Linked DNA regions of Mus musculus. Each later gene encodes a partner of the first gene's protein in a complex. Links are inferred from orthologs where the notes say so. Each region holds a gene or a part of one and is shown in the gene's direction. Other genes may lie near its edges.

Region 1 (10,546 bases):
CCTCACACCTAGAGACTCCTTTTGCCTCCTCATAGTGTCCTCCTCTTCCTTCTTTAGTCATGAGTATTTAGTTTAGTTTTATTTTTTGTAGTTATGATCTAGATATATATGATACATAATTTTGCATAGTTCACTTTTAATTCTTAAACACCATTATTACTAATGCATCAAATTTTACGATTTGTTCTCTGAAATTGGTCTTTGGGTTTATTCCCCGTCTTTCCCCCTCTCTCACCTCACTGCTCACAGCATCTAACTGGACATTGCACATCTTTGTGCTCATGGGTTATCTGACCTTTTGAGGCAGTCAGAACATGTTTTTAAAGTTCTGATTATAGTGTGGTCTAATAATGGAGTAGAAACACTTATAAAGAGGCATGGTACAAAGTAGGGAAATGACGCGGGAATTGATAGCATTCTGTAGTCCCCACTGTAATAATGGTTCAGCATAGACTGCCACTGGGAGCTAACAGTATTAGGTAAGATAAAACATTGACAGAGAACAGAGTAGCCACACAGACACAGGTTTTTTCTTGAGTACTAAGAGAAGAGTCTTATGTTATAGTGCACTGTTAGAAAGATCTGGTCAGTGCTTGGTAGCCAAGAGATATAGTAGCTGCCAGTGGCAGACTCTCATTGTAAAACTGTCATTGTGTACAAAGACTTAGTTACTGGGTTACAAAATCTTAAGTCTGAGCCTAGTCACATAGAAATGATGTAGCTTGTGAGGCATTCTGTCAGACAACTTTTCTTGGTTGTCTAAAGAGGTGGGTATCAGGAAAGACAGAAGGTGGGAGAACTCCCTGGACTAAAGAGGAATGAAAGTGGGTGCCAGTTAAGCAAAGAGCCTTGGATTTTATAAGTTGAGTCTGGGATTTAGAAGGAAAACAATCTATTGGGTGCTATAGTTCATGTCTGTAGTTCTAGCACTTGGGAAGCTGAGGCAGAAGGATCACTATAAATACAAAGTATCCCCGTCCCCTTCCCCCCACACCTTCAGTTTCAGAACTGCTAGGACCACAGAGTAAGACCCTGTCTCAAACAAACAGAACTGGGGACGGGTGAATTGTGAATATGAGCATAGGAATCAGGTCAAATCCATTATTAAAAACTTGACAGTGGCTTGTGCTTTAGATAGTAGTTTGTTAATACTCAATTTCTGGGTGTCATAATGGCATTTGGGTTAGGTAGGAAAATATCCTGGCTCTTAGGAGGTACATGGCTGAAATGTTGGTAGGTCAGGTAACATACTTACCTTTTAACAACATTTGTAAATGCTTCTGGGAATAAACAGAATCCTGTTCCTATGTATGTTTGGGTGTGGGATAGGAAGGGTAGAGCTAGGAAATGCGTACAGATGTTAGAACCTGGTAATCTAGGTAAAGGGTAGGATGGAATTCACTGGACAATTCTGACTTTTCATGGAATTGATTTCGAATTCTTTAAAATAAGTTTTGTTTTTCAAAAGCAAACCCATTAGAGCAGTAGGCTCCACTCTTGAAGTATTGGAAATCCTCAGCTGTATTCCTAGGAATTATCTGGGGTACCTGTAGTAAAAATCTATACAATGATAAGAGTGGAATTTGCTTCATTGCATAGGTGTTTCCTTTTCTGTATGAAATTTAAAGTCAGCCCTTGCCTGTAGAACTCAGAGTCATGTGTTCTGAACATGGAGATGGATGTGTGTAGTACATGTTGTCAACCTTGACCATTTTTTTTCTTTTAAAAATGTTTCTAGTTATAAGAATTACACCCTTGTGACTGTCTTCGGAAATCTGCATCAGGCACAGCTGGGCGGTGTGCCTGGGACTTACCAGCTGGTTCGGAGTTTCCTAAACATTAAACTGCCAGCTCCTTCACCAGGACTTCAGGTACCTCTGCAGGGCCAGACACATTCCAGAGCCACTAGTTGATCTTAGGCATTCTTAGTTGAAGGGAGTTCTGTGTGGTAAAGAGGCTGGGTCGTGCTGTTTCCTGGGGGCCCTTTCAAAACCAGTCATGCAAAAATCCTGAGTAGAGGCAGGAGATGTGCCAACACCATGTCTCAGATGAGTTTTCAAAGTTAAGCTTTAAGTGCTCTCTCAGACACTTACATGTGGGTGTAAGACACGAAGTGAGGAATATGTCAGAAGTTTAAAGCAAACCAGCTGAAAGAGTGGCATTGAGTGTGATTTAGTCCCTCTGCCTGCTTGTCTTGCAGGTGGGGGTTATTTTACAGTGTCTGATAGAATGTACAAGCTAAGCTGGAGCTTTGTGCCTAAAGATGCTAGCTTCATAAAAGGTCAAACTTAACTCTTAAAGAGCAGGGGCTCACCCTCAGTGGGCCTCTGGAAGGCTGTTCCAGGCGGGGAGAACAGTGTGGACAAACAAGAGAGAAAGCAGAGTATCTGGAGTGGTAGGGCATGTGGCAGGGCTTAGCAAGCTTTGGGTTAGCTGGTAAAGGAAGGCATTGAGTCCCAAAGCTGAGCATGTGGCCTTGCATAGCTTAACCGTGTTGAAGAGGGCACGTGATGCCAAGATGAAGCTTCTGCTACAGAAGGGCGGGGAGTGCCAAGAGTTCCGAAAGAACTGACAACGAACAGTACAAGGCCAGGCCTGCTCCACGGACAAGCGAAAAGTGGGTGGGTGGTCACATCGTTGGGAGTGGGAGACAGTCACCTCGCAGCTCTTGATATCCAGACAGTTAAACATTTGGAGGGATAAGTCATGTTCAGTTTTATAAGCTCAAGTGGATGAATTGCTCTCATTAGTCAGTGACATCTTTAGCCTTTATTTTGTCAAAATCAAAGAAGGTGATCCCATTGTTGCTGGCTAGGAGAAAAAGCATAGGTGGGCTCTGTTGGCATCACAGTACCTCCAGATCCATCGCACACTGCCACTCCCAGTTTTCCCTGGACAACTCAATGTGTTTTCGAAACACAGGGAATAGGATACAATCAGTGGCTCTTAGCCCATGGGGTTATGGTGGGAACTGCGTACCTTAGCTGGGTGTCTCACATCACAAAGTGTTTGTTAGCTTTTGTTTGACTGTGCCTTTGTCTTGTAGGATGGAGAGGTAGAAGGCCATCCTGTCTGGGCATTAATTTATTACTGCATGCGCTGTGGAGACCTGCTTGCCGCATCACAAGTCGTCAGTCGAGCCCAGCACCAGCTTGGGGAATTTAAAACTTGGTTCCAGGAGTACATGAACAGCAAGGATAGAAGGTACCATGAGCACTGTGCTTTGCTGCAGATATAGACTGCATTTAGTGAGTTTCCTGTCAGTGGAGGACTGCATGGAACAGACTCTAGGTTAAGACTGATTGCTTCATAAAACATAACTTTTTGTCCAAGAGTGTTGGTGTGTGCCTGTAATCCCAGCAGACAGGAATCTGAGACATCAGGTTGTGAGTTCAAGATGTTTTGTCTCCAGAAAACTAACTAAATAATAACTGAAATAAAATGAGTCTTTTTGTGTTAGTTACTTTGTTAAATACAAATATTCTTTGTTCAGTCATGTGGATGTGTATGCTATTTGCTGTATGCCTTATGACTCAAGTTAGAGCTAGAATTTCATCAGTCTGAAGTTAGCATTGAGATAATGACCACTGCCTCAAGAAGCGTTCCTAAACTAAGGGACTGGTAAGCAGCAGTTGGTTGTGCTTATGTAATTGGACACACGTTCATGTTCAAACCCAGTTTGTATATATGCACATGTATAGAAGAAATGTGACACTCACTGCAGTGGTTCCTGTGGGAAGCCAATACTCAAGGGCTAATACTGCCACTTTAGGAAGTTATCTCAGATCCTAAGCCTCTGATTTGCTTAGATAGTTTAAAGTAGGTTTAGGGCTGAAGATGAGCTCAGAAGTGGAGCATCTGCCTGCCCAGCATACACAGAGCCCAGGGTTTGATCACCACTGGGGTAGAGGCAGCATTAGCACCCAACTGAGCCAAAGATTGGGGTACAGGTCTACTATTTGGAAGGTGAGCCCGTGTGAATAAGGGGGTGTGGAGGCCCAAGGTTAAGAAAGTTGAAGGATGAAGTTGGAGTGCAACCTCAGTAGGTAAAAGTGCTTGCAGTGCAAACCTGAGTTCAGTCCCAGAGCCCTTGTTAAGCACGGTAGCACTAGCTGGTGATCTCAGCACTGGTGAAGTGAAGAAAGACGGCTTTCTGGGCTCTGGCAAGTCAGCCTGACCTAATTGGCAAGCTCAGAACAGAAAGGGATACTGTATCAAAACCCACCACCCACCCGAAGAGTGGCATGAGAGGTCGACCTCTGCCCTCTACCCTCTGCTGCACACACATGTGCATGCTGATAAACGTCAACAGCAAGACATTTAGGGAAGGACCTGCTTGAGGGATGTTGGAGGGAATATTGAGCCCTAGAATCCCCAGTCTTCCTAATGAGGTCTTAGACCTGTAGAAGGCCGATGGGCGAAAGGATGTAGTGCTAGCAATTAGAAGTCAGGTGAGAGTGGTGGGTGAGCAGAGAGGCCCTGTGCTCAGGATGATGGAGAGCTTCCAGACTGTTATGGGCATGCTTGCACTTCACCTTTCAGGATCTTTGCTGAGTCTTTCTCTCTCTGTGTCTTCAGATTGTCTCCAGCTACAGAAAACAAACTCCGACTTCACTACCGCAGAGCCCTCAGGAACAACACAGACCCCTACAAGAGAGCTGTGTACTGTATTATTGGGAGATGCGATATCACCGACAATCAGAGTGAAGTAGCCGACAAGACTGAGGACTACCTATGGTTAAAAGTAGGCACAGTGTCCTTTGGCTGCTCAAGTCCGCCATGCTCAACGCTCGTAATGCATGAAGTTTGTGTAGTACTCAGGACAGGGACAGTGGATTTTGTATCAAATCCACTTTATTTTTTTTATTGTGTAATTCCCAACTAATAACTACACAGTCAGCTTTCTTTTTCTTCTTTCCTTCCCTCCTCTTCCCCCACTTCCCTTTCCCTTTGCTTTGCTAGGGACGGAATTTAGGGCATCAGTCATGCTCTACTAAAATACAGCCCAGCCCCAAGAACCACAGTGTGTCATGTAGCCCCAGCTCACAGCATCAAGCTTAGCTGCTGGGCAGCTACAGCTCTGCGTGTGGGTGACGGTGTAGTCTGTACCAATGTGCTTGTTTCCTTTGGGCATTTAGTTGAACCAGGTGTGTTTTGATGATGACGGCACCAGCTCACCACAAGACAGGCTCACTCTCTCACAGTTCCAGAAGCAGCTGCTAGAAGACTATGGTAAGATCCTGGACAGTCACCATCTCCTTTGGGGGGGTATATGGCTTACCATTTTCAATCAGGTACAGACCATTATGCGTTAAGAAATATGCATCACTTGGATACTTGAGAGACTGAAGCAGGAATATCCTGAGTTCAAGGCCAACCTAGGAAACAGTAAAATTTTTGTCTCAGAATAAGAATAAAAGGGTCTGGGGCTGTAGCTCAGTACTGCAGTACTTGCCTGACATTCCAGAGACCTTGAGTTTGATTGATCTCTGGCCCCACCATAAGGAAATAGAAAGCTGTGACTTCATAGTCATAGACCATAAACATTTTTTCTAGTTCTTGCTTGGGAGAGAGGTGAATAAGGCCTTAGTTGCTTCCTTGTAGATCTTGCTAGTGGTCACACCTGATTACAAAGGAGAGGAGTAGCTTTTCCCTTTGACCTCCTCATTGTTGAACAGTTGTAGGAAGTATAGGGTCAGTGACTGCAGCTGTTGTTGCTGAGCTCAGGCTTCTGTGAAGCCGACTGTACATGCGCTTTGCATTTTCTGTCTCTATGTATATTGAAGACAACTGTCACTTCAGCATCTTGAGCCGTCTCTCTCCTCTCTAATGCACACAGCTTAGATTTTTATAACAGGACCCTTCTTTCTAACCATGAGTGAGGCCTAGAGAGGAGCTGGGTCTTTTTGTTGTTGTTGTTGTTGTTGTTGTTTTAAGCCAAGGCTTCTCTCTGTCTGTTACAGAACTCAGTTTGTAGGTCAGAATGACCTTGAGTCCACAGAGATCTACCTGTCTCTGTCTTTCTGTTGCTGTGACTGAAATTATTAGAAGCCTGCACCACCGTGCCTGGTTTCGGGTGGCATTTCATGTAGTTTCCTGTGCCCAGTGTCCCTTCAGTTACTTTAGGCTCATGTGGCTGCTTCTTTTCCACTCAACGAGACCATTCACTCAGTGGGTGGCAGCATCCTTCTGAGTGTGTTTTACCTCCTCTCCTGCAGGCGAGTCCCACTTCACGGTGAACCAGCAGCCCTTCCTCTACTTTCAAGTGCTGTTCCTGACTGCACAGTTTGAAGCTGCCATTGCCTTCCTCTTCCGCATGGAGCGGCTGCGCTGCCATGCTGTCCATGTGGCCCTGGTGCTGTTTGAGCTAAAGCTGCTTTTAAAGTCCTCTGGACAGAGTGCTCAACTCCGTGAGTATTTAGGTCTTAGCTGGCATTGATGTGGCCATAGTGCACCATCCCCCTTGTTCCTAGTCGGGAAATGACAGACACTCCAGATTTTGGTCATTTTAGAGCATTGTAGGTACATGAGCTTTTCTGTTAGTGTTAGAATGCTTGTTTTAACCCCTTGGCATTTCCTGGAATGTTAAAGGGTGATGCCAGGCAGAGCCATTCCAGGAGTCATGAGTATGACGTTCATTAGGGATCTGGCTTTAAAGACCTTGGAAACACCAGCTAGCCACCTATCAACTTGACTTCCTAGGTAGGAGAGGCAGGTAGAGAGCCAGGTAAATGTGAGTGGCTGACTGGGTCAGCACGTTCTCCCCAGTACATGAGCCATGATGGTCAGGTACATAGTTGTTTCCTGTAAAGGCCATCTGCTGGCCATCTGCCATAGAGACATTCACCTCTACTGTCTGTACAAAGGAAAGTGAAGCCACTGGTGAGGTCGTACTGGGAAATGGGGACTGCACCACAGAAGTCACGCTTCTTGGCTTATACACTTGATTTCCATGGGTCCTGGATTGCGGGGGTCTGAGGGGCCCTTCTGTTCCCATGTACAGTCAGCCACGAGCCTGGCGACCCTCCCTGCATGCGACGGCTGAACTTTGTGCGTCTGCTCATGCTCTACACCCGCAAGTTTGAGTCCACGGACCCAAGAGAAGCCCTCCAGTACTTTTACTTCCTCAGGTGAATCCTGCCTTTGCCTTTGTACTTGCCTAGCTTTTATTTCTCCATCCTGACAGTGACTGTTAGAGACTCAGTCTGCATCTGTACCACAAACCACCCAAGCTATTCCTGTGCTTTTGTAGGGATGAGAAAGACAGTCAAGGAGAAAACATGTTTCTGCGCTGTGTGAGCGAGCTTGTGATAGAAAGTCGAGAGGTAGGTCAGCTTTCTCATCACCCTGGCTGGAATTTTTAGTGTGCTCTCATTCTACTCTGTGTGTGTGCTGTACATGGCCTAGAGGGGGAGGCAGGCAGGGCAGGGCTTGCTTTGGTTTCTTACACTGACAATACTGACTTCAGCCTCACTGTGTCCTAGTTGTGAGAGACCTCTCCTTTCCCTTTGCCCTAAGAAATTGTGTGTTATGTTTATTTCCTTGACCAGTAAGCTGAGTAAACCTTTTTTCCCCCACAGTTTGATATGATTCTTGGAAAACTAGAGAACGATGGAAGTAGAAAGGTAGGTTAAATGTGTCCTTGGTTGTCAGAATGTAGTTATACTGTAGGAGTCATCTGGATACATGAATTGTAACAAATGGAAGGATGAAATTATAAGCCCAACTGATAGCATTAATTAGTTTTACACACATTTTTCTTTCTTTAAAATTTATAAATTTGTAATTAGTGTTTTCATATGTTCTGTCTGACATTTTTCTTAAAGCTAAGGCAGCTGTATTTTTGACTCAGAAAACATGAAGAAAAGTTAGGGTTTACTCTGCCTACTCTCTCCAGATGGGAAAGTTAGACATGCACTTCACCTCTGAGTACTCAGAACTCCCCACCAACCCCAGAAATGCCATCTCCCAAGAGCCTTAGCAGCTCCTCTGGGACTTACCATGCCATGGGACACTGTAAGAGAAGGGCAGAAGCCCCATGTCAGGGCCCAGTCCTAACCCTGGCCCCCCTGGGTGCCCACAGCTACTCACTTTCCTGTGTAAACCTCATGGTTTGGCCTGGCGCCCAGATGAGGGGCCTGCCGGTACTGATAGTGGGGGCCATCTTCTTGGCTTTGTGTAGTATCTTACTCAGGTAAGACAGTCACCCACAAAGTGAGAACCAAAGCAGAAATAAAAGTGGCTAAGTACTTTCTTCAAGAGCACACAAGTGGAATCTGAGCATGCAGTGCATTTCCTGGGTTGAGGGGCAGGGCACTGGAATTTGGCCGAGCCCTGAAGGTGCCTTAGCATGCACGGTCAAGCACAGTGTTGCGCAGTCGGTCTTCCCTCCCTGAGTCCTGGGGCCTGTCAGACTCTCCTGATCGTGTGCCTGCTAGTGAGTGGTGACAGAGGCTATTTCAAAGTCCTCACCACCACTTCCTGCATCTGTCTTAGAAAGCAAATTGAAAGTCCTAAAAGTATTTTCTCATAACATCCTGCTTGCCAGCAAATTTAGAATCACTAATAGTTTTACCTACTCTTAGTCATTTTGGAAAATCTCTCAGAAACCACTAATGTGCCATAGCTGACTCCATAGTGCTCCCATTAACGTGCCCTGTCTTTTTCTGTGGTTATGGTGTGGGGCCTTATGTCTTCAGGAGAGCCGAGTCTGGCAGATGAAGACTGTTGACTAGGGCAACTGTTCAGCTGTGTGTTCCGAGACACAGTTGCTGCGGGGTGTTGAGTCTTTCCCTTCCCCTTGATATTTGTCTTGTCAGCCTGGAGTTATAGATAAGTTTACCAGTGACACAAAGCCTATTATCAACAAAGTTGCTTCGGTGGCAGAAAACAAAGGACTGTTTGAAGAGGCAGCGAAGCTTTATGACCTTGCTAAGGTAATGTTCCCTTTTCCTGACTCGGCGTGAATGCCCAAGCTCTGCACTACTGTCCCAGCTGAAACATGTTCTCTGGCGTAAAAATGGTTCAATCAGGGTCAAGTTCCCATTTTACAGAAGTCTAACTGTCCGAAAAGTATCTATGGCCAAATAACAGCATAATGAAAGTCTCTCCTGTAGACACTGTCAAAACCACTGTGGTTCCCGTGGTAGCTTTCTACAGTGGCCAACAGTGTGCAGTCCAAGAACCTGAGTTAAACGCATCTCCCTACGAGTATGTGATAAGCACTGATGACTTAGGTGATGTCCTGGGGCTGAAGAGGTGGCTCACGCTGCTCTCCTAAGAATTGGGTTTGCTTTCCAGCACCCACATGGTGGCTCACAGCCCTCCATAACCCCAGTTCCAGAGGATCTGGTACCTTTTTTGGCCTCTGCAGTCACCAGGCATGTACATGGTGCACATCCGTACATGCAGGCAAAAAAAACCATAAACACAAAAAGATAAAAATAAATAAATCTTTTTAAATAAAGATTTCCTAGGGGTAAATAGATGGCTCAGCATTTAAGAGCACCGACTGCTCTTCTAGAGGTCCTGAGTTCAATTCCCAGCAACCACACGGTGGCTCACAACCATCTGTAATGGAATCTTATGCCCTCTTCTGGTGTGTCTGAAGACAGCAACAGTGTACTCATATACATGAATTACTCTTTTAAAAAGACAGACAGACAGATAAATCTCCTAAATTTAAAAATATTGTGTTGAGGTCTAATTAGGACATAGGAAAATATGCAAGTGGTAGGTATATATTGGGTGATCTGTCCACACAACCCTGGTCTCAGAATATAGAGTAGTTCTGTTCATCACCCCAGAAAGTTGCTGGTTTTATTTTGCTTAATTAGTTTGTTCTTTTGTTGATTGTTCCCTGAATCTTAAAATCTTCAACAGAATGCTGACAAGGTGCTGGAGCTGATGAACAAGCTGCTAAGCCCTGTTGTCCCACAGATCAGCGCCCCACAGTCTAACAAAGAAAGGCTGAAGAACATGGCCCTCTCCATTGCGGAGAGGTAAGGCCCGGGCCTGCTCAGTGGGGCCCGAGGGTGCCAGGTCACTGAGTCCGCCCTACTGTGTGTCCAGCTTCATGAGGCACTAGCAGACAGTTCCCTACAGATTACACTAATTCACCTTCTTTCAGAACGTCCTTCAGTGGTAGTAATGGGGGTGTTCTCGGGCTTTGTGGGCACTGTTATAGAATCCACCTTACTGCTCAGTAAAGTCCCTGAGTTCTCAGCCAGCTTAACTCCAGAGGAGACTGGGTTTGAGATGCCTTCCTGCAGCAACACAGACCACCTGAATCAGTCGTCCCCAGCGTTAGCTCCAGGTGCTGTAGCCCATGCTGTCCTCTTCTCCTTCCTAAAGATGTGGCTGTAGAGTTGATGGTGGGGACTAGAGAAGCAGGCTTTACTTAGAACATGTGGGAAGAGTATTGCCAGATCACAGTAGTCAGCCCTTCACAGCGTCACAATGAACACTGTTGTGCCCGTCCAGAGAGGTTGATGTACTTAGGTGAGGATTCTGTGGAAATCCATCTCCACTCTTACTCCTCTCAGCA
Region 2 (10,646 bases), on another chromosome or scaffold:
TCTAACGAGGAAAATACCTAATTAAAAAAAAACTTGACTTCTTTGGCATGTACAGTGCAATGATTAGGAAACTGACTGAACTGTATACATTTTCACCATCTCAATGAACCCTTGCTAGCTTATAGACACACCCCTGGCAACTACTAATCTACATTCTGTGTGTAGAGACTTGCCTTTCTCAGACATTTCCTATAAATACAGTCAGTCATACTGTGTGTGATACCACACTGCAGTTTCTATGTTGTACCTCTATGCTCACAACAGTGTGTTTGAATAAAAAGTACCTACTTGATGCCACATGCTATACATGTCAAAGAGGAGCATGGAGATTATAGTTTAGTGGGGAAAGGAGTGACTGCATAGACATACAGGCAAGGGGATTCAGCCATCACTTACAATGATGGCATACAGATCTGAGACTGACTAGGGGCTGGCCTTGGGATGGAGGGAGTAGGAAGAGCCAGGAAGGAGCAGGAGGGAACAGGTTTACTACAATTGGGAGTTTGACTGAGAATGACCCTGTAGGCCCATATGTTTGGATGGCTGGTTCTCAGCGGACTGTTTAAGAAGGGTTCAGAAGTGTGGCCTTGTTGGAATAGGTATGTTAGAGGGGGGTAGGTTTTGAGGTTTAAAAAGTTCATTCCAGGCCCAGCCTGTCTCTGTTTCTCCCTGTGCTCTGTCTCTACACCACCACCCCCCAGCCACTCTTCCAACTCTCTCTGCTTGCTGCTGCCTGGGGCTCAGCTGCAAACTCTCAGCTACTACTCCTCTGTCATGCCTGCCTGCCAGAATGATAATAGATGAACCCTTAGAAATGGTGAGGGTCTCTTTATTAAACGCTTCCTAATGTAGGTTGCTTTGGTCAGGGTCTCTTCAAAGTAATACAAAAGTAACTAACCCACTACACAGGACCAGGGTATTTGGCTGGGATTCAGGAAAGAAAGACCAATGGGCAGTGAGACTAGGAAGGAAGCAGGGGCCGTGTTATGTCAGGGCTTCTCAGGCCATGTTCAGGATTTGGGTGTTTTGCCTTATATCAAGATCAATCGGAAATGATTGGAGGTTTTCAATAGACATGCCCGGGAAGGTGGGTAGACACCATGCTTGATTAGGAAGATCCTTGCTAGCTACAGGGTGAAGAATGAATTAAGAGAGCTGACATAAACTGTGGGCTCAATTAAGAGGCTGGCTCGGTCCATACTTCAGTTTTACTTTTTTGGGAGAGTTGGGTTTTTTTAAGGTTTTTACTTGGTGAGTTCTTAACATTTATATGCCAACTCTTCTATGGAGTTTTTCATTTCTGACAACATATTTAAACATATAGCACTTTTTTTTTAAAACAGAGAAACCATGGTGCAGTGTGCATCTTTAGCATACAGGGAGTAGACAGTGACCCACCATTTACCCGTATCTACTTGAGCAGCAACCAGGGAGTTTCCTTGTGTTCTTGAAGCAGTGAAGCTATGTAGTTTATTTATCACCTCTCTCTGAAGTTTGTTCTCCCAACATCACATGCCGGAGCTACAGTCGAGCCTTTGTTATCTCTTCATTATGGAACCCTTCAGTACCCCTAACAGCCCTGCTTCCCACAGATATGCAGGCCCCCTTCAATTTCCCCATGGTAACCAGAGGGATCTCGTGAAAATTAATTTGCGTAGGTGTTGTGTGGGTGGAACCGTCGGATGGGTCCGGAACAAGAGTGGGGTCCAAACCCCAGAGATCTTGTTCTGAGATTGGCTGGAGCAGGGTCACTCTCTCTACCCCTGCCCCCGGCCTGTGTGTCCCGGTGTGTATACGTCTGTGCTCTGCCCTTTGCCCCACTCCCTGGTAGCCAGGTTACACTTCCTCTCTCCTTATAAGGTCATGTCCACCAGCACCTGGAATTCCTCCTTACAAAAATGGGGTGTCCCCAGGACCCTCGACCCCAACAATGATGTACAGTCACCCCAATAGTCCCTACTCAACCATCAAAGGTTAAATAGCTTTCTCCCCCAGCCCCATTAAACTCCCTGTCTCACTGAAGCAGTCCCATCACAATCACATGCTGCCTGAGGTCTTCATCCCTGGTTGTTCCTGCCCACCCCATCCCCCTTGTGGCCAGCCCCACCCCCACCAGGATCTACCAGTTGTTATTGTGGGTCCTTCGCATGCTACAGGCAGAGGCAGGAAAGCAGAGCCTGACAGATAGGTAGGATTGGCTGGAGAGATGGCTCAGCAATTAAGAATAAGTACTTGCAGAGGACCCACGTTCAGTTCCCATCACATCACCCACACCATGGGGCTCACAGCTTCCTATAACTCCAGCTCCTGTGATCCAATACCCTCTTCTCTGGATTCTGAGACTATCCCACTCACACAGGCACATACCCGCACATGCGTGTAAATAGAGACAAAATAAATCTAAGCATTTTAAAATCATCTTGGGGGGTGGAGCTGAGGAGACAATTTTGTAACAACATTTGCTATATGTACTGGCTAGTTTTGTGTCAACTTGACACAGGCTGGAGTTAACACAGAGAAAGGAGCTTCAGTTGAGGAAATGCCTCCATGAGATCCTACTGTAAGGCATTTTCTCAATTAGTGATCAAGGGGGAAAGGCCCCTTTGTGGGTGGTGCCATCTCTGGGCTGGTAGTCTTGGGTTCTATAATAGAGCAGGCTGAGCAAGCCAGGGGAGGCAAGCTAGTAAAGAACATCCCTCCATGGCCTCTGTATCAGCTCCTGCTTCCTGACCTGCTTGAGTTCCAGTCCTGACTTCCTTGGTGATGAACAGCAGTATGGAAGTGTAAGCCGAATAAACCCTTTCCTCCCCAACTTGCTTCTTGGTCATGAAGTTTGTGCAGGAATAGAAACCCTCTAAGACACTATATAAGCATAAGGACTGAGTTTAGATCCCATATAAAAAGCTGGGTGCACCCATGCATGTCTAACAATTGTGCTGGCTGGTACCATCTGGAAGATCCCTGGGACCTAGTGATGGCAAAGCCACAAGCTCTGGGTTCAATGGGAGATGCTGTATCAAAGGACTAAGGTGAAGAGGAATAGAATACCAGATGTCCTCCTGTGGCCTCCACATACATGCACGAGCATGCACACCTGCACACAGGTACACACATGCATACACCACATTCACACACACAATCGTTTGAGATACTTCCACTGTGTATCCTAGGCTGGCCTCCAACTTAATCCTGCTCATGCCTCCTGGGTACCGAGATTACAGACATGCACAAACATGCATGCTTGTCTCTAACAACTAAATTCTGATCATAAGATGCTTTGGTCTAAAGCTTCTTCAAAGGTTTTCTTACTGCTATCAAGAATGTATGAAATCCTGACCATAATCTATAGGGAAACAGATTTTTGTTTTGTTTTGTTTTGAGACATTGTTTCTCTGTATAGCCCTGGCTGTCCTGGAACTCACTTTGTAGACCAGGCTGGCCTGGAACTCAGAAATCCGCCTGCCTCTGCCTCCCGAGTGCTGGGATTAAAAGCGTGTGCCACCACGCCCGGCAGGGAAACAGAATGTAATGGTAATTTTTTTAAAAGGTGGGGCCAGAGAGACTGCTCAGTCAGTACAGTGCTTGCTGTTAATGTTTGAGGATATGAGTTTAATCTTCATCACCCATATTTAAAATTAAACAAACGCTGAGCACAGTGGCATTCATGTATAACCATAACACTGGGCAGGCAGAATCAGGAGTCCCCTGGGGCTTGCTGGCTGGACAGTCTTGCCAAATAAGCGATGAGATCTAGATTTATTGAGAGACCTTGTATTAGAAATTAAGAGTAAATTAGGAAGACACCCATGTCAATCTCTGGCCTTCAGGCACGTGTGCACATATGTGTGTATACACTCTTCCCACACATGCATGTGCTCTCTCTCTCTCTCTCACACACACACAAAATGGGGCAAAGAGGTTCCTGAGAAAACTAAAATTAGATCTACCACATGACCCAGCTATGTCTATAAGGACTCCAAGTTAGTCTATCACATAGATGTATATCAATCTCTACTGAAGCATTAGTCACAATTGTTAACAAACCTAGTTGCCTAACAACAGAGGGATGGATCAGAAACAGAGGATGGTATATACTCAAAAGAGTTTTCAGCCCTAAGAAGGAAGTTATGTTGTCATTTGCACAAAACTGAATATCACTGGAGATAAACATTATTAAGTGAATTAAGCCAGTCACAGAAGGAAAAAAATTCATTTATGATTCCTAGGTTTAATTAAACACATAAATCATATGACATGGAAAATGAAGTAAAATTACTAGGGAACTAATGGGAGAGACAGGGAGAAGACAGAAAATTTAGGAGTAGGAATATATATTCAAAATACAACATAAACTTGTATCAAGATGTCCTAATGTAACACAGTGCCATGTACAATAAATATTTTTAAAAGGAGAAAAGAATCGGGGCTAAGTAGAGAAAAACCAGCGAAGTGACTTTGGGGATGCTGCTTTGCAACTCTAATCCTCAGTCCTCCTGTCTCGTCTGTGCCAATTAGTCAACGACAGAAATCTTCTCTGTGTAGTTGAGGATTAAATGTTCCCCAGAAGTGCGATGCAGGGCACAGATTTTACCAGTTAGTGGGCCCATTTGCTTCATCGAGGTCAGCCCTTCTTCTTGGTCAATGACAATAGTAGTAAACTGTCTGAAACGCAGCTGGGGGTTTAAAAAAATATGCAAAAACAATTACTAGCGTGCATTCCACATAGCTAACACACGTGTTACCACCATCGCCATCATCTTTCCATCACTCTCGAATGCCTCTTTCTCAACTGCTTTATCTACTCAAACCTCCTTTCCTCCGGGAAGGACCGCTCCTCAGAGGTAAGGGCAGTACTTTCACGCGGTCCCTGCACACTGTCACTTCTCTAAAGTGGCTTCAGAGAGCCACCATACAACACCCCATGTCCAACTTCTCATCACTTCCCCTTTGTGGTGACGCCCCACACCACGTGAAAGCCACAAACACACCCCCGGAAGTGATCGGTGGTAGGCGTTCCCGTTCGATCATCCCACCCACTCCATCCTTGCTTGGTTCCTGCCTGCTCCGCTTAGACCGGGAAGGAGGCGGAACTAATGGTACGGACCGCCTGACGGTTCCCAGCCGGACAGAAGAGCGGAGGGCACTGGGCGTCGCGCCGCGCGAGCCCGGGGCCATCTAAGTGCTGCTCCCGCGACATGGCTTTCAATTTTGGGGCTCCTTCGGGCACTTCGGGCACCTCTACAGCCACCGCGGCACCGGCGGGTGAGTCAGCCCTGGGCCTACCTTCTTCCTCCAAGGAACCAAAGCCTCGGGCCCGCCCCCTCGATCCGATCGGTCCGGCTGGGGGGTCCCGGGGTTGCCCTGGCACTCGGGACACCTTGGAGTCATTTGGAGAGGGCGGTGGCGGTGGTGGCGGCGGCGGTGGCGGTGGGAGGGCCGCGGGCTGCTCAGGCTCAGCCTGGGGCTCGCACAGCACGCTCAACCCGCGTGGCTCGGCCGCCGCGGTGCTTCCCGCCATTGGGGTGTCCGCCCAGGAGAGGCCGGAGGCTACGCCCCTCTCATTTCCCGGGACCCCGCGTCCCCTCGTCCGTCTCAGCCTCAAGGTCCAGACGGGTAAAGTTGGAGCCAGGCTGCCCGCAGCTCCCTCTGTCCCCTCCCCAGCCCGGGGGGGGGGGATGCTCGGCCCCCGCCCGTGCTGCCCTTCGCTCCTTCTGTCTGTCCGCACCTTGGCTTTCTTCCCCTGATCCGGTGCAGGTCAGGTTTGTTCACGCTGTGAAACCTCTTGCTGATTCTTGTAATTCTTACCTTTCTTTCTTCTCCTTTTCTCTTTCCCTCCTCTCACCTTTTCAAATTTTTGTTTCTCTTGCCTCCACGACTATCAGGATTTGGTGGGCTTGAGACTGCCAACTCCACCGCCGGTGGGTTTAATTTTGGGGGTTTCGGATTAACCGCTAACCCTGCAGTGAACTTTAATATTGGGAATTTCGGTGTTTCTACTACCTCGGCGACTCCGTTCAATTTTGGTAACAGTCTGGCGAGTGCAGGTAGATACTGGGGTCATGTGTGTAACGAGTATGGGGGCTGGAGTCCAAGAATGTTCCGATGTCCCTAGAGTTTGGGGGAAGAAATGGCACTTGTCTAATAAAGAAAGGGGTTTATTTCCTAAGATCAAATCAAATATATTTAAAGTTTTGGCTGCTTTAAAAGATGTGGGTTTTGGAAAGCCTTAAAGAATTAGAATGCACCTTGGTTGGATTTTCATTTAATGATACAGAGCACAGCTTCCAAATGATAAGTTGGGAACCGAATATTTTTTAAAACATTAGCTTTAGCAGAAGGTAAGCGTTTCCCTGGGATTCTTGGACTCCTGCAGTCATTTTTCATTTTTTAATACATATTTCATTGGGATTTCATCTTATTGTCCTTGTGTTTCCAAGAGAAACAAGTCTTATACGAACAGCAGCGACCTGTCTTGTTTTTCAAACTGTAACGATGTTTTTCTAGCATTAACTCAATATATTAGGATGTATTTCTATATATAATTGTAGAAAGAATCCCGGATTCTTTGCTGGGTTTTTGGGAAATTTTCCATGAGTAGTTTTAATTTACCAATTAACACTGAGTTCTAAAAAGTAGGCTCGGCATCTTTTACTTTCAAAAAGAGGATGATGAAGGTTTTTGGTTTTTTGGTTTTTTTAATCTGTGGCTTGTTTGAAGATCACTGAAATTTTTCAGAACACAAATTAATGGATGTGTACGACCCAATTTAAGTTAGGCTTATGTGAGCTCGACATCCGTATGACTCTTAGAAAACTCTCCATCCTCAGCTGCTCGTATATGAATGTACTGTCCATAGTTTATGTTCCGTCAAGCCACTGCTGCCCGTGCCAATTATATGCATTTGGTAAGCCTTACTTCTAAACTTACTGGGAAAGTTGGGGATTTTGTCCATTTACTGGGTTTTACATTGTTGATGTCACCTTATCCTCTCAGTTAAAAATAGTGAAAAATACTTGGAAATTCCAAAGATAAAGGGACTCATTAAGAAATATTAGAAGCCGCACCCACCACCCCTGGGGTGTTTACCTTTCCTAGTTTGCTTAAAATTGGCACTGGGCAAAACAAACCTTATTTTGAAATTTATGTTTCAGAATAAAGCAAACCATATAGTTTAACAGCAACGAATAAACCTGTTTGTATTTGCTTGATTTCATGTCCATTTGGCGTTGTCGCTGTTACTTTGAATTGTACAAATACAAGTGTGTTTTGACTATTTTCAAATATGTTAATTAACTCAGCCTTCAGGAGAGAGCTTTAAAAAATTACATTTTTTGTATCCATATAGGACTACTATTACTAATAAGAGTGTTTTTGATAATCTGAAACATGACAAGATACTGACTAGCATTTTTAGTGTGTAGCCAATTCGAATAACATAGTTATTATTTGAAAGTAGGAAGTTAAAAGGGCTCTATAGACAGTATTTATTTTAGAGGTTATGTCAAAATGTTTGGCTGGCAGTATTTTGATAGAATCTATAAATTAACATGTGTTCAGTTGCCTATTTAATAATTTTTAAAATCTGAATTGTATTGCTAAGAGTACAGGGTAGTGGTAGACTACTTGCCTGCCTTGTATGAGCAAGGTCCTGGATTTAATACCAGTGCCACAAAATTGATTGAAGCTAATTCATTTCTTTTTCTTTAGAATGGCATCTCACTGTGTAGTTCAGGGTCATTTAGAAACTGTAAGCCTGCCTTAGTGTCTCTCTCTATGAGATTGCAGGCGTATACCAAGACATCCATCTCATTGCAATCTTGAAGAGGCTCTCTTATTACAAGAAATATATGAGGTTCAAGTTAGAATCTCTGAAAACTTGGAGTGTAACTCAGCATTTAGAGTTCAAGTGTTTTTTTTTTTTTTGAGAGTTTTTGGCAGCATATTTATAACTAGATAACTGCTGCCAATACTTTAAATTAGGTTGTCATTTCATTCTGTTTTTACATTGTTAAGATATACCAAGATTGATTTTCTTTTTTTTTTTTTTTAAATAGATTTAGTTAAAAATAGAACCTGTCAGGTTGCCACAGTGTGACGCAGGCCCATGGTAGCTGAGGCTACCTTCTTTGCCATTTCTCCACTTATTTTTTTTTTTTTTCCTTCCTTCAAGAAAGACATTCTTTCGGGAGGCAAAGGCAGGTGGATTTCTGAGTTCGAGGCCAGCCTGGTCTACAGAGTGAGTTCCAGGACAGCAGGGGTACACAGAGAAACCCTGTCTCAAAAAAAAAAAAAAAAAAAAGACATTCTTATTTTATAGAGGTAGACATATTGGTATGTTTTGGTACGTTTCCTTTAGTAGTTGTTTCACACAGACTAAGGGCATCCCTAATGAAAGCTAATGGAGATGTAATTTAACTCACGAGAATTACGGTTGAGAGCTGGCAAAGCAAGCCATCTGCTGCCATCGTATGCTTGGCACTGTTTAAACAGTTGAGTTCGTTGTAAAACAGCAACGTTGAACTAGGAGATTTTGAAAAGACTGTGAGTAAGCTATAGACATAGTTCAGGGTAGAGGACTTACTCAGCCATTCGTTCACTCCCTACCTCTGCAAACCCCTACAGGTTTTATGCAAAGGATCTAGATTTCCTATTTTTGCTGGGGAAGGGGAGAGGGGAGTGGTGACGTTCTCACACCTACAGTAGCCTTCTGGACTCTCGAGAATGCTCTTTGTTAAGGGGTTCACTTTAAACAGCTCCACTGTCAGTAAACAGTCATTAATTTATTAGTCAAAATTGTATGGACGCTTGAATTTGTAATAGCTAGTCTAAAAGTGGATATATATCATTTTAGACTTAGGACAGTCTAATTTTTTTTCAATCACGTTACCCATTTAGTTAACGGGATTTGTATTGTGTTGTATTATTTCTGTCTAAAGCACTTGGTCATTTATTTCTTGCAATGCATTGACCTTCTGATTAGTAAGTAATTAGGATTTTTTTAACCTATGTTGAAAAAAGAAAAGAAAAATTTAGATCAATATGTCCTTTATATTTAGCAACTACTTACAAAACAATTTGAAATGAAAACGCAATCCCCGCTGTGTGCACAAAAGGACCCTTACGTTTTATCCGTTTTTAATTAGGTGGGTTTGGAGGATTTGGAACAACAACTACAACTGCAGGCTCTGCCTTCAGCTTTTCAGCCCCAACAAACACAGGCAGTACAGGTAAGAGGTTATCCTAAGTCCTAAGACATAAATGTGGCACAGGTTGATGTTTTTAGCTTACTCAATTCTGATTTCTCATTGAAAGGCCTTCTCGGTGGCACTCAGAACAAAGGTTTTGGCTTTGGTACTGGTTTTGGCACAACGACGGGAACTGGCACTGGTTTAGGCACTGGCTTGGGAACCGGACTTGGATTTGGAGGATTTAATACCCAGCAGCAGCAGCAGCAGCAGCAGACTTGTAAGTGGGATTTTACCTTCAGCTATAAAATTGTGGCAGTAACAGCAATGTTGCTTCGGATACAGATTGCCTTAGTTTTAAGGACTGTAACTGTATCCCAAAGAGTTCCGAAAGCATAATATTTATTCCAGAAAGTTATTCCAAGATGCATAATATTTATGCATTCTTGGAATTAGGAAAAAGACTGACTGGTATGATTGGGACTGTAAGGGCCCTACGTTTGAAGTCAGTCCATGAAAGCTGTAGTGATTTCTGTGTCGGGGTATAGTTTACTAGATTATACATACGGGCTCACCCTTGTCATGTTGAGGCAGAACCTGAGCACACTCCATATCTTCCCTTATAGCACTGATCCATGGGACGAGCTGTGTCCCGGCTTTCACAGCCTCTTCCCTTCCTTTGTAGTTCTGCTGTTTACAAGTGTGAACATCATGAGTGTGAACGTCACGAGTGTGAACTGAACAGATCATTTTGCCATTCTTAGATCTCTGCAGGCTCCTTTTATATCATTAATTCACAGATGAAGTCAGATCTTTGTCTTTCAGGTTTTCTATTTGTACTTTACTGAAGTCATTCTTGTATAGTTAACATAATCTTTGTCATCTGTATCTCCTAATTGTTGGGGATAGTTCAGTATTTTATTTTTAAGACTGTGTCATAGAATATCCTTTATCATGCAATGTATAATATCTAAATATGTGGTTTTGTAATGATGCTAGCAGCCATTGGTAATCATTACTTAGATGAGTTAATTTATTACAGATTAAGAAGTAGTGTTGTTCATGTAGATTTTTTCATTCGTTTGTTGAATTCATTTGTAAGGAACTTTACCTCACCTGTGTGTTTTGATTTTTTTTCTTTTTTTTTTTTTTTAATGTTGGAAATACAATCAGCCCTCTGGGTCCCGTTCTCCCCCCCCCCCCCCCCAAAATAAGGGCTTGTCTCTCCAACCCTTTGTTCCTAGGAGTGCATCGTTAAAATCTTGCTTCATCAGACTCAGCCTTTTGGGTCCTGTTTTTTAGAGTTAGGCTGTCAGGCATTTCAGTTTTGTTTGTGATGTGCTTGGCTCGCTGTGAGTCAGACCTGGGCCTTCTGGAAGAGCAGCAAGCACTCTCAGCTGCTGCGAACTGTCGGGTTTAGTTCAGTTTTGATTGGATTATTTGCTTGATTTTTATTTTAAT
Region 3 (10,646 bases), on another chromosome or scaffold:
GAAGCAGACAGATTTCTGAGTTCGAGGACAGCCTGGTCTACAGAGTGAGTTCTAGGACAGCCAGGGCTACACAGAGAAACCCTGTCTCGAAAAAATAAATCAATCAAACAAACAAAAGAACCCCAAACATTCACTTGACTTTGTACAGCTTACTTCTTTTTAATTTTTAGTCTTTGAGATGTAGTTTTCTTGGACTCAAAGTCATGGCAATTCTCTTGCTTAAGCCTTTCAAATTCTGGAATTTCAAGGAGGCATCAACATGCTCTGCTGATATATTTTTTAATTATTTATTTATCTTATGTATATGAGTATACTGTAGCTGTCTTCAGACACACCAGAAGAGGGCATCAGATCCCATTACAGATGGTTGTGAGCCATGGTTGCTGGGAATTAAACTCAAGACCTCTGGAAGAACAGTCAGTACTCTTAACTGATTAGCCATCTCTTCAGCCCTCAGCTGATAATTTTTATTTAACCTGTCTCGCTTTTTTTTAAAAATAATTGTTGGGCCAGGTGTGGTGGCACACGCCTTTAATCCCTGCACTTGAGAGGCAGAGGCAGGTGAATTTCTGAGTTCGAGGCCAGCCTGGTCTACAAAGTGAGTTCCAGGACAGCCAGGGCTACACCGAGAAACCCTGTCTTGAAAAAAACAAAACAAAACAAAAACAAAACAAAACAAAAATTGTTGGGCTGGCGAGATGGCTCAGCGGGTAAGAGCACTGACTGCTCCTCCGAAGGTCCTGAGTTCAAATCCCAGCAACCACATGGTGGCTCACAACCATCCGTAATGAGATCTGATGCCCTCTTCTGGTGCATCTGAAGACAGCTACAGTGTACTTACATATAATAAATAAATCTTTAAAAAAAAAAAAACAAAAAAAACAAAAAAAACAAAACAAAAATTGTTGGGAGGTAATGGCACACACACCACGCAGGAGGCTGATGCAGGCAGGTCTCTACTTTAAAACTAAAAACAAAATTTATGTTTTATATATATGAGTGTTTGCCAGCATGTATGTGTAACATTAAGTATTGTGGAGGCCACTGATTCCATGAAACTAGAGTTCCAGACTGGCAAGCTGCCTACTAGAGGCTGGAAATTGATCTTGTGTCCTCTGTAAAAGTAGGAAGAGCCTCTGAGTCGAGTCTCTAGCCATATGTTTGTTTATTGTCAAGTGTGAGTGTATATCAGCCTCACTTACATGTGTGCTCCTTGTTAGTGAGAGAGTATGTATCAAGGGAATAAGACATGGGCCAGGCATGGTGGCACATGCCTTTAATCCCAGCACTTGAGAGGCAGAGGCAGGTGGATTTCTGAGTTGGAGGCCAGCCTGGTCTACAGAGTTTCAGGACAGCCAGGGCTATACAGAGAAACCCTGTCTCCAAAAAAAAAAAAAAAAAAATCAGGGACATGAATAGTGTATGACCCCAATGTCTTCCTCTGGCCTCTGCACTACTATAAATAAATGGCTAACAATACCTGTATACACACATTCACACACTACTGGTTAGCAGACACAAAAACACATATACATCCACACACACATCCACACACATACTCACATCCACACAAACATACCTCCCCCCCCCCGGGGGGGGGGGAGAAATAGAAGTATTTTAGAGTCAGACATAGTAGATCATATCTGACAAAGAAATGTTTTGTAGGCTGAGACAGGAGGACAAGTGTGAATTTGAAGCTTGTCTGGGTTACATAGTGAGGGCTGGGCTAATGACTGTTGTCTTACCATCTTTTGTTACAAATTATGCTACTGGTATCATAGGTACATTTTGTTGAGGAGACAGGGTCTGTGATATAGCCCAGGCTGGCCTTGAACTTATTATCCTTCTGCCTCAGAGATCCAAATGCTGGGATTAGAAACATGAGCTACCAAGCTCAGTTAATCACTACTTTTTTTTTTTTTTTCGAGACAGGGTTTCTCTGTATAGCCCTGGCAACTCACTCTGTAGACCAGGCTGGCCTTGAACTCAGAAATCTGCCTGCCTCTGCCTCCCGAGTGCTGGGATTAAAGGTGTGTGCCACCATGACCGGCTTTAATCACTACTTTTACTTGGGAAAATGTTAAGTTTTTTTCTTTTCTCCTTAAAAAATATTGTTGGCACCATTGCATCAAGATTTTGTTGAAAGGACCCTGATATAACTGTCTCTTGTGAGGCACTGCCGTGGCCTAGCAAACACAGAAGTGGATGATCACAGTCAGCTATTGGATGTCTCACAGGGCCCCCAATGGAGGAGCTAGAGAAAGTACCCAAGGAGCTAAAGGGATCTGCAGCCCTATAGGTGGAGCAAAAATATGAACTAACCAGTACTCCTCAGAGCTTGTGTCTCTAGCTGCATATGTATCAGAAGATGTCCTAGTTGGCCATCATTGGAAAGAGAAGCCCCTTGGTCTTGCAAACTTTATATGCCTCAGTACAGGGGAACGCCAGGGCCAAGAAGTGGGAGTGGGTGTGTGTGGGGGAGGTTTGGGATAGCTTTGGAAATGTAAATGAAGAAAATATCTAATAATAAAAAAAGAATTGTTAAAACAGTAAAAAAAAATTGTTGGTAGGGCTGGAGAGATAGCTTAGTGGTTAAGAGCATTGACTATTCTTTCAGAGAATTGAGTTCTATTCCCAGCAACCACATGGTGGCTCACAACCACCTGTAATTGGACCTGATGCTGTCTTTTGGTATGTCTGAAGATAGTTACAGTGTACTCATATACATAAAATAAAAAAAACATATTTGAGGCTAGAGAGATAGCTCAACACATATGAGTACTGGCTGTTCTTCTAAAGGGCCAGGGTTCAATCATCAGCACTCATATGGCAGCTCACAACTGTCTGTAACTCCAGATCCATGGCTTCTGACATCCTCACACAGACATCATGTAGGAAAAACCAACGGACAGAAAAATAAAAACAAGGGGGCTGGAGAGATGGCTCACCAGTTAGAAGCACTGACTGCTCTTCTAGATGTCCTGAGTTCAATTCCCAGCAACCACATGGTGGCTCATAATAATCTGTAAAGGAATTTGATGCCCTCTTCTGGTGTTCTCAAGACAGTGTACTCACATACCTAAAATAAATAATTTTAATAAATAAATAAATATTGTCACTGGGTGGTGGTAGCACAGGTCTGTAACCCCAGCACTCCAGAGGCAGAGGCAGACAGATCTCTGACTTTGAGGCCAGCTTGGTCTACAGATTAGGTTCAAAGACAGCCAAAGCTACAAAGAGAAACCCTGTCTTGAAAAACTAAGGGCTTGCCGGGTGTGGTGGCACACGCCTTTAAACCCAGCACTAGGGAGGCATAGGGCTATACAGAGAAACCCTGTATCGAAAAACAAACACACACACACACACACACACACACACACACACACAAAACAGAAAAAAAAAAACCCAACCAACAAACAAACAAAAAAATAAAGACAGACAGACTAAGGGCTGGTGAGATGGCTCAGCAGTTAAGAGCACTGACTGCTCTTCCAGAGGTCCTGAGTTCAATTCCCAGCAACCACATGGTGGCTCCCAACCATCTGTAATGGGATTTGATGACCTCTTCTGGTGTGTCTGAAGACAGTGACAGTTTACTCACATACATGCAATCTTTTTTAAAAAGTTAATTATAAAATTTATTTTATTGTATATATACTGGTGTTTTGTGTATGTCTGTGTACTACATGTGTGTGCCTGGTTCCACAGAGGCCAGAAGAGGGCATCAGATTGCCTGGGACTGTTCCACATGTATGTGAGTGCTTTGAATTGATCCAGGTTCCCCGGGAAGAACAGCGTATGCTCTTAACCACTGAGCCAACACTCTAGCTCCCTAAATCACTGATGATTAGGATTTGGATAAAAATTTGACAGAAAGGTTTTCCTTTATTTCCTTAAAGTTTGTGGGAGTTTGGTTTTTGAGTCTGGGTCTCAGTTAGCCCCGATGCGAGCTCAACCTTGCCATGTAGCTAAGGCTGGTTCTGAACTCCCGATTTTTCAGTCTCTACTTCCCAAGTGCTGCATCTTCCGGCTTATGTTACTATGCCCTACTTCCAAGTCATGTATGACCACCAATTTAAGGTAGAAATAGTTCAGAATAATCCTAAAGAAAGAAAAGTTGCCAGTACATAAAAGATTGAAGTCCCGTTGTTTACGGATGTCATGTGTCCGAGACTAATTCCAAAATAAGCGCATTATACTGGTCGGAGTTCGGAAAAGGGACTGAGAATATTCTAATAACAGACCAGGAGGGAGGGATCACAACTACCGCTAAGAGATAAAGTAGGATTACAGAGACGGAGTAGCTCTCCAATCGAAATAGATGCGCCAGCACGCTTCTGCGCATGCGCACACCCTCCCAGCCACCGCCTCTCCCGCCATCTCCGGGGACCTTTCCCTCACCTAGTGTGGGACTGTCTGTGGCGCCGCCTGATCTACTGGGAACATTCCTTGAGGACCCGTGGGCCCTAGAGCCGTTTTCATGATGTGTTGTATAGGTTAGAATAGTGGAACATGTGTGAAAGGCTTCAAGGGGCTGTGTTTGGCTAAGACGAAGGGATCTGTTGCGCTAAGGTCTGCAGGCGCTGCGCAAGCCGCCCTGGAGGGGGTCCTCTTTGGCAGCTGTCTGTGAGCGGGAGGCCTGAGCGCAGAGAAGCGGCCGCGCGGCAGGGTCCCAGCCGCGGGGGGCACGGCGCTATGGAGGAGCTCGACTGCGAGCCCGCAGTAACTGTAAGGGCGATCGGAGTGGAGTGGCTTGGCTTGTTGCACTGTGAGGGTTACGTTTCTTTGGTCATTTCAGGCTGCCTCCCTACATGCGGGACGCACGCTTCTTCCCTGGACACAGTTGCCACCATCCCGAATGTCAGGTTAACTGGGAACTAGGTTATGGCAATAGTGGTCCCTAGGTCCTGTGAATACTGGCCGGCTCGCGGAAACCCCACTGCATCACCCTTGTTTTTATAACCTTTCTGCTTCTCTAGTTTTCCCCCCTTGGGCGTTAGAATGAGATTGGTGTAAGCCCCACATGGTCACTCCAAGGGATGAGTTGGCCTTTCCCTGTCCTGCTGTCCTAGTCCGAGGCTTAATAAATGCATAATTTGTTCTCACGGGAGACAATAGACTAGTTTCTGTCGCGTTGTATTCTATTCCTCTTGCACCTAGAAAATGTTTTTTTAAGTGTGTATATGTCTGAATATGTGCACAGCATCATTGGATACGACCTAGGCTGTTCGCCTGGTGTATGGTGTTCGCAGTTACACTTGGAAGTTGAATGGACAGTTGTAGGGCTAACAGCTCCTGTGCCTCCTTATGTCTTACTAGTGGATTCCAGGTGTGAATTCCAAGAAGAAGCAAATGTGTTTTGACTGGGGCCCCGGCGAGATGCTTCTGTGTGAAACTTCCTTCAACCAAACAGGTAGGCAGTTCTTTTTCACATCTGTCTTGGCACATTGGTTGACTCTCTGAGGCAGGAAACTGGAGTTATTTGGCAATATTTTTATTTTTGAAACTTTGTTTTTTTGCTATTTTGAGACAAGTTGCCCCTATGTAGTCCTAGTGGGCTTGTCTTTGTGCAATCTTTGTGTAGGTTTGAATTCTACATCTTCTTCCCTCGACTTCCAGAGTGCTGGGACTTGAGGTGTGTGGTTCAACACTTGACATTAAGTAATTTTTAAATTTTATAGTCTGTGTATGGGCATTTTGTCTACGTGCATAACTGTGCACCACTCCGTGCTTGGTGCCGCAGAGGCCAAATGAGATCATTGGATTCTAGGAACTAGAACTCTATATTTATGTGAGTTGCCATATGGGGTGTTGGGAGTTGAACTTAGGTCTTCTGGAAGAGCTGCCTGTGTACTTCTTGTTTGGTTTTGGTTTTTTGAGATGGTTTCTCCGTGTAGCCTGGCTGTCCTGGTACTTGGTTTAGACCAAGCTGGCTTTGAACTCAGAAATTACTTGCTCTTTTTTCCTGAGTGTTAGGATTAAAGGCAGGAAATTTCAGCCAGTTGTCTTAGACGCCAAACCATCTCTTCAGCCCCCTTCCTATAATTAACCTTTAGAAACGACCCATATAGCCCAGGTGTGGAGATACGCACCTTTTAATCCCAGCACTCAGGAGACAGAGAGGCAGGTGGTTCTGTGAGTTCACAGCCTGCCTGATCTACAGAATGAGTTTTAGGTCAACCAGGGCTACACAGAGAAATCTTGTCTTGAGAAACCCAACAAAAACAAGCCCAAAGAAGTGAGTTAGACTGCCTCAGCTGAAGGCAAAGTCCTGGGTTCAGGCAACGCTCGCTTGCAACCTTAGATTTTCTACTGTGCAGAAGAGTTGGCGGGGGGAATAGAGAGTCCCCAGCTGCCTGGGATATGTTGCCAGACCCATTCTCAAAAACCAAGGATGTAGGCTATCACTCAGTGGCTCAGTGATAACTTCTTTAGCATGGGCAGTGTCCTTAATTAGATCATCAATATCACCAAAAAAGAAGTCTGTGTTGTGCTGCCTGCTTGTATTGTAATCTCAGCCTACACAGACCAGATGAAGACAAATCTTTTTTTCTTTTGGCGTAAACCTGGTTTGCTTGGCCGACTGTGTGCACTAGTCTTCCCTTGAGTTTTAATCCTCCCGTCTCATTCCCACCGGTGGAGAAAGTGGACATGTGCCCCAGGCTCAGCCGGGCTTTGTAATTAGAGAATTAGAAGTACTGGGATGTTTTTCTCTTTTGGGGAAAATGGTAGATGTTGAGTTACTTTTTTTCCTGTTTTGTTACAGGCAAATCAGAGAAGGTGCCGAGCTGCCCTTTTATCTACATCATACGGAAAGATGTGGATGTTTACTCTCAAATTTTGAGAAAACTCTTCAATGAATCCCATGGAATCTTTGTTGGCCTGCAAAAAATTGAGGAAGAACTGTCGGGGAAGTCCAGGAAAGCTCAGTAAGTGGTGGGTGCTGAGGCTGCAGTGAAGTCGTGAGAGGGAGGCGTCCTTATCCTTGTGAGTGCCGGGGCACCTCGGGGTTCCTGTTCTCCTGTGTATCTTCTTAGGGTGTAGTTGTGCATTGTGTAAATGCTGTTGGAAGACTTACTGGCTTGATATATATGTATCAACTCTTCCTTTTGGATTCCTACTTCATTTGTATGTGTCCCTTGAACACCACCACCGACCAAAATAAAAATAATATAAATATGGTGAAAGGAAGACTCAGACAGAGAAGCCCTTGAATTAGATCTCACTCTTGAAAGAGTTAAAAACGAGGCTGACAGATCTTTAAGAGCTGGTAGTCAGCAGAGTGAGTTCCAGGCCGCCCAGAGCTGCAGAAGCGAGACCCTGTCTTAATATGAAAGAAATACAGGCGTCAGCAGACAAGGCAAATGGAAAAGAAAGACTTGCTTCTCAAGCTTGTGTTTTTGACAAGGAATCAGGATTTGGTTTTTTTGCTTCCTTTTGGGGTGGCGGAGCTCGAGCTGCCTTTGAGTGCCCAGCTGCTGAGCCGTGATACTGGGCCAGCCCTCCAGGCTACGGTTTGTTTTTTTTCTTTCCTATTATTCACTCTTTTTTGTTGTTGTTGTTGTGCTCGTTCCTTGAGCTCAGTAAGTAGATGAGGGTGAAACTGGGTTTCATACACCTGGCATGCACTCTGCTGACTTGTGTAGCCCAGGCTATGTATGTGCTCAAATACGTGTGTATCCTTGAGTTTCTGGTCCTCTTGCCTCTACTTCTCAAGCTCAGGGTTACAGACACGATTACCAGGCTTGTGGTAATTCAGTGCTTGGAGCATCGAGCACTGAATTTTAGCAGAAATTGATGCAGAAGCCGTGGAGGAGCCCTGCACACTGCCATACTGTCGTGGCTTGCTCAGTCTGCTTTCTTTCTTTCTTGTTTTTTTTTTAAAAAGATTTATTTCTTCAGACACACCAGAAGAGTGCATCAGATCCCATTACAGATGGTTTTGAGCCACCACGTGGATGCTGGGAATTGAACTCAGGACCTCTGGAAAAACAGTCAGAGCTCTTAACCACTGAGCCATCTCTGCAGCCCCTCGGTCTGCTTTCTTACAGCAGCCAGGACCGCCAGCTTCGGATGGCACCTCCCATATCAGTTATCAACTGAGAAAATACGCCACAGGCTTGATTACAACAGTAGTGCTTTTAACCTGAGCCGTCTTTGCAGTCCAGACTTATTTTAACCATGTATGTGTAGGTGCATATTGGTGCAGGTACCTGTGGGAATCAGAAGATGACATTGGGTTTCTTAGAACCAGAATTGCAGCCAGTTGTGAGCCATCTGATAAGGGTGCTGGGTACTGAACTCTGGTCCTTTCCAACAGTAGTACGCACTTTAAAACCACTGTGACAAAGCTGTTTGTTTGTTGTGTGGTATGGTGTGACCACATGAGTTTATATGTACTGGAGGCCAGAGCACTCAGAGCTCCTGGAATTGATGTTGCAGCCCGTCTCCTGTCTTTTGATTTCTCTCTTTCTAGCATCAAGATACGGTTCCATGTCATCTTGTATGTCATTTCATTTTTTTTGTAGATTGGTTCGAGTGAGTAAAAATTACCGTTCAGTCATACGGGCCTGTATGGAAGAAATGCATCAGGTTGCAAGTAAGGACCCTGTGTGTGTTTGAAGTACGTTATCTGGTGCTGTTTTCTCCAGAGGCCTTTAAGGAGGCTGCTGTGCAGTTCATAATAGGTCCTTGTTTTAATGTGTGATCCATAAGCGTTTCACATGAAAATGGGTGGGTGGTAAAAGAAACCAAGGCAAAAACCGTATGGGGCTTCTGAGGGCTTAGGAGATGAGCTACATTCAGTGCAGGTTGATTGACTTAAGGTGTTTTGTATTCTGCTAGTTGCTGCTAAAGATCCAGCCAGTGGCCGGCAGTTCAGCAGCCAGGTAAGGTGTAGCTGCTTTCATTGTATTGGCAACATCGTGTTAGTGCGTAGGGTGGTGGCTTTGTGGTCCCTGTTGCAGGAGGGCTCTCCTTTTCAGGTAGATCAGCAGCTCTTTGGGATGGCAAGTATGGCTTTGAAAGTGTTGGTCAAGGTTTTAGCCCATGGGAACTCAGGGTTTTCATTGCTTGTGGAAAAGATGAGTCCTAACACATGGTGTTTGTGAGTTGTCACTTGAGATGGAGAACCGAGCTTCTAGGACTACTGCTTGGTCTCATGAACTCAGAATTGTTGTCAAGCAGCATGTGGTTATAACTCAGCAGGACTAGAAGGCGACATCTAGGACTCTTTCCTCAGTGAGACCCCAGAGCTTTTCTAACTCATGAACAGGGAAAATAGGCTTTCTCTGATGGGCACAGTATGCTCTCCCCCTGGAACAAGGGGTGATGGAGGGGGGTGGGGTGGGGTGGGGGACGTTCATCTTCCTAAAGCATCTTAGGTTGGGCTTTGCTTTTTCGGTTGTTGCAGTGCCTGGTCTTGGTTCCAGTGTTGTAGGTGTGCTAAGTATGCACACTGTTGCTGAGCTATGCCCTCGGCTGACATGTCACCTTTTTAAAACAGTTTTTATTGTGTGTATGTATGTACAAGCGTACCTGTGCATGCATGTGGAGGACAGAAGAAGATGTTGAATGTCCACTCTCTCTGCTCATTCTCTTTCTTCTTGATCCTGGGAGTTGTGTTATTTTGGCTATGCTGGACACCAGCAAGCTGCAGTGACCCTCCTTTCTGTTCCCTTTGTAGCTGAGGCCTCAGATGTGCTCAGGTCTCCAGCTTGTTATCTGTGTGCTATGATCCAAACTCTGCTCCTGATGTGTGCACAGCAGAGTCTATTGACTGTGAAGCCATCTCTCTTGCTGTCTGTTGCTTTGCATTCGAGTTTCAGTAATAGTTTCAGTTAAAACTAGTCTCCGTTTCTTCCCTAGGTCTCCATTTTGTCAGCCATGGAGCTCATTTGGAACCTGTGTGAGATTCTCTTTATTGAAGTAGCACCAGGTAACCCCAATTTGTTTGTTTCATGTAGCCTCACTTAGCCCAGGCTAACTCTGTCTTAGCATCACAGGGTTCCTGTCGTCCTCTGTCCTTCCTAGTTGCAGGGAATAAATAGCCCTCTGTCCAGTCAGGTCCTCTGCTATAAATCCACGTCCGTGTCTGTACTTGGGTGGAGTGGAGATGCCGCAGATGAAGCTGAGCTCTTTTGTGTGACATGAGTCTCTCCTCAGCTGGCCCTCTCCTCCTTCACCTTCTTGACTGGGTCCGACTGCACGTGTGCGAGGTGGACAGTTTGTCGGCAGATGTCCTGGGCGGTGACAACCCAAGCAAGCATGAAAACTTCTGGGACCTGGTGAGTGTGCGCGGACGGCAGCCGCCCGCCCTGTGCACTCTGCGCGCTGCAGTCGGCTGACTGGGAGGACCCCTGCTCCAGCCTTGGCTCAGCTCTCTGAGTTTATGATTGTGGAGTAGGTTTTGCATCTTTCCTTCTCTGCTCCAGAGCAGTTTAAAACTAATTTAGCACGGGGAGCGGTGCTTGGTAAACTTGCCGTCGTTTCAGGAGGATTTTGTTTGTAGGTCTGAGGAAGAGAGGTTATAAGGGGACCAAGCGGTTGATGGGGTGCACATGAGCATAAGTGGTCTGAGGTAGAACACTCTGGGGCAACAGTTCACAACCTGTGGCTCATGCTCCCAGGGGATTTGCATATCAGAT

The links.
Region 2: Nup93 (region 1) and Nup54 share a complex: the UniProt entries of both Homo sapiens proteins name them as parts of the p62 complex. The link is inferred for Mus musculus from reciprocal best matches to the Homo sapiens genes NUP93 and NUP54.
Region 3: Nup93 (region 1) and Nup85 share a complex: the UniProt entries of both Homo sapiens proteins name them as parts of the nuclear pore complex. The link is inferred for Mus musculus from reciprocal best matches to the Homo sapiens genes NUP93 and NUP85.

What each region holds. Positions count from the first base shown.
Region 1 is NC_000074.6:94,299,022-94,309,567, forward strand, and holds part of Nup93 (nuclear pore complex protein Nup93), read left to right. Parts: intron 1-1,738; coding exon 1,739-1,871; intron 1,872-3,046; coding exon 3,047-3,204; intron 3,205-4,578; coding exon 4,579-4,744; intron 4,745-5,138; coding exon 5,139-5,232; intron 5,233-6,218; coding exon 6,219-6,410; intron 6,411-7,003; coding exon 7,004-7,130; intron 7,131-7,252; coding exon 7,253-7,325; intron 7,326-7,580; coding exon 7,581-7,625; intron 7,626-8,819; coding exon 8,820-8,936; intron 8,937-9,882; coding exon 9,883-10,001; intron 10,002-10,546. UniProt on the Homo sapiens protein: Plays a role in the nuclear pore complex (NPC) assembly and/or maintenance. May anchor nucleoporins, but not NUP153 and TPR, to the NPC. During renal development, regulates podocyte migration and proliferation through SMAD4 signaling.
Region 2 is NC_000071.6:92,429,620-92,440,265, reverse strand, and holds the start of Nup54 (nuclear pore complex protein Nup54), read left to right. Parts: upstream 1-5,066; 5' UTR 5,067-5,195; coding exon 5,196-5,262; intron 5,263-5,283; exon of another isoform or gene 5,284-5,754; intron 5,755-5,882; coding exon 5,883-6,044; intron 6,045-9,143; coding exon 9,144-9,227; intron 9,228-9,312; coding exon 9,313-9,465; intron 9,466-10,646. UniProt on the Homo sapiens protein: Component of the nuclear pore complex, a complex required for the trafficking across the nuclear membrane.
Region 3 is NC_000077.6:115,559,835-115,570,480, forward strand, and holds the start of Nup85 (nuclear pore complex protein Nup85), read left to right. Parts: upstream 1-4,609; 5' UTR 4,610-4,695; coding exon 4,696-4,728; exon of another isoform or gene 4,729-4,768; intron 4,769-5,319; coding exon 5,320-5,413; intron 5,414-6,766; coding exon 6,767-6,929; intron 6,930-8,528; coding exon 8,529-8,599; intron 8,600-8,844; coding exon 8,845-8,888; intron 8,889-9,867; coding exon 9,868-9,937; intron 9,938-10,164; coding exon 10,165-10,286; intron 10,287-10,646. UniProt on the Homo sapiens protein: Essential component of the nuclear pore complex (NPC) that seems to be required for NPC assembly and maintenance. As part of the NPC Nup107-160 subcomplex plays a role in RNA export and in tethering NUP96/Nup98 and NUP153 to the nucleus.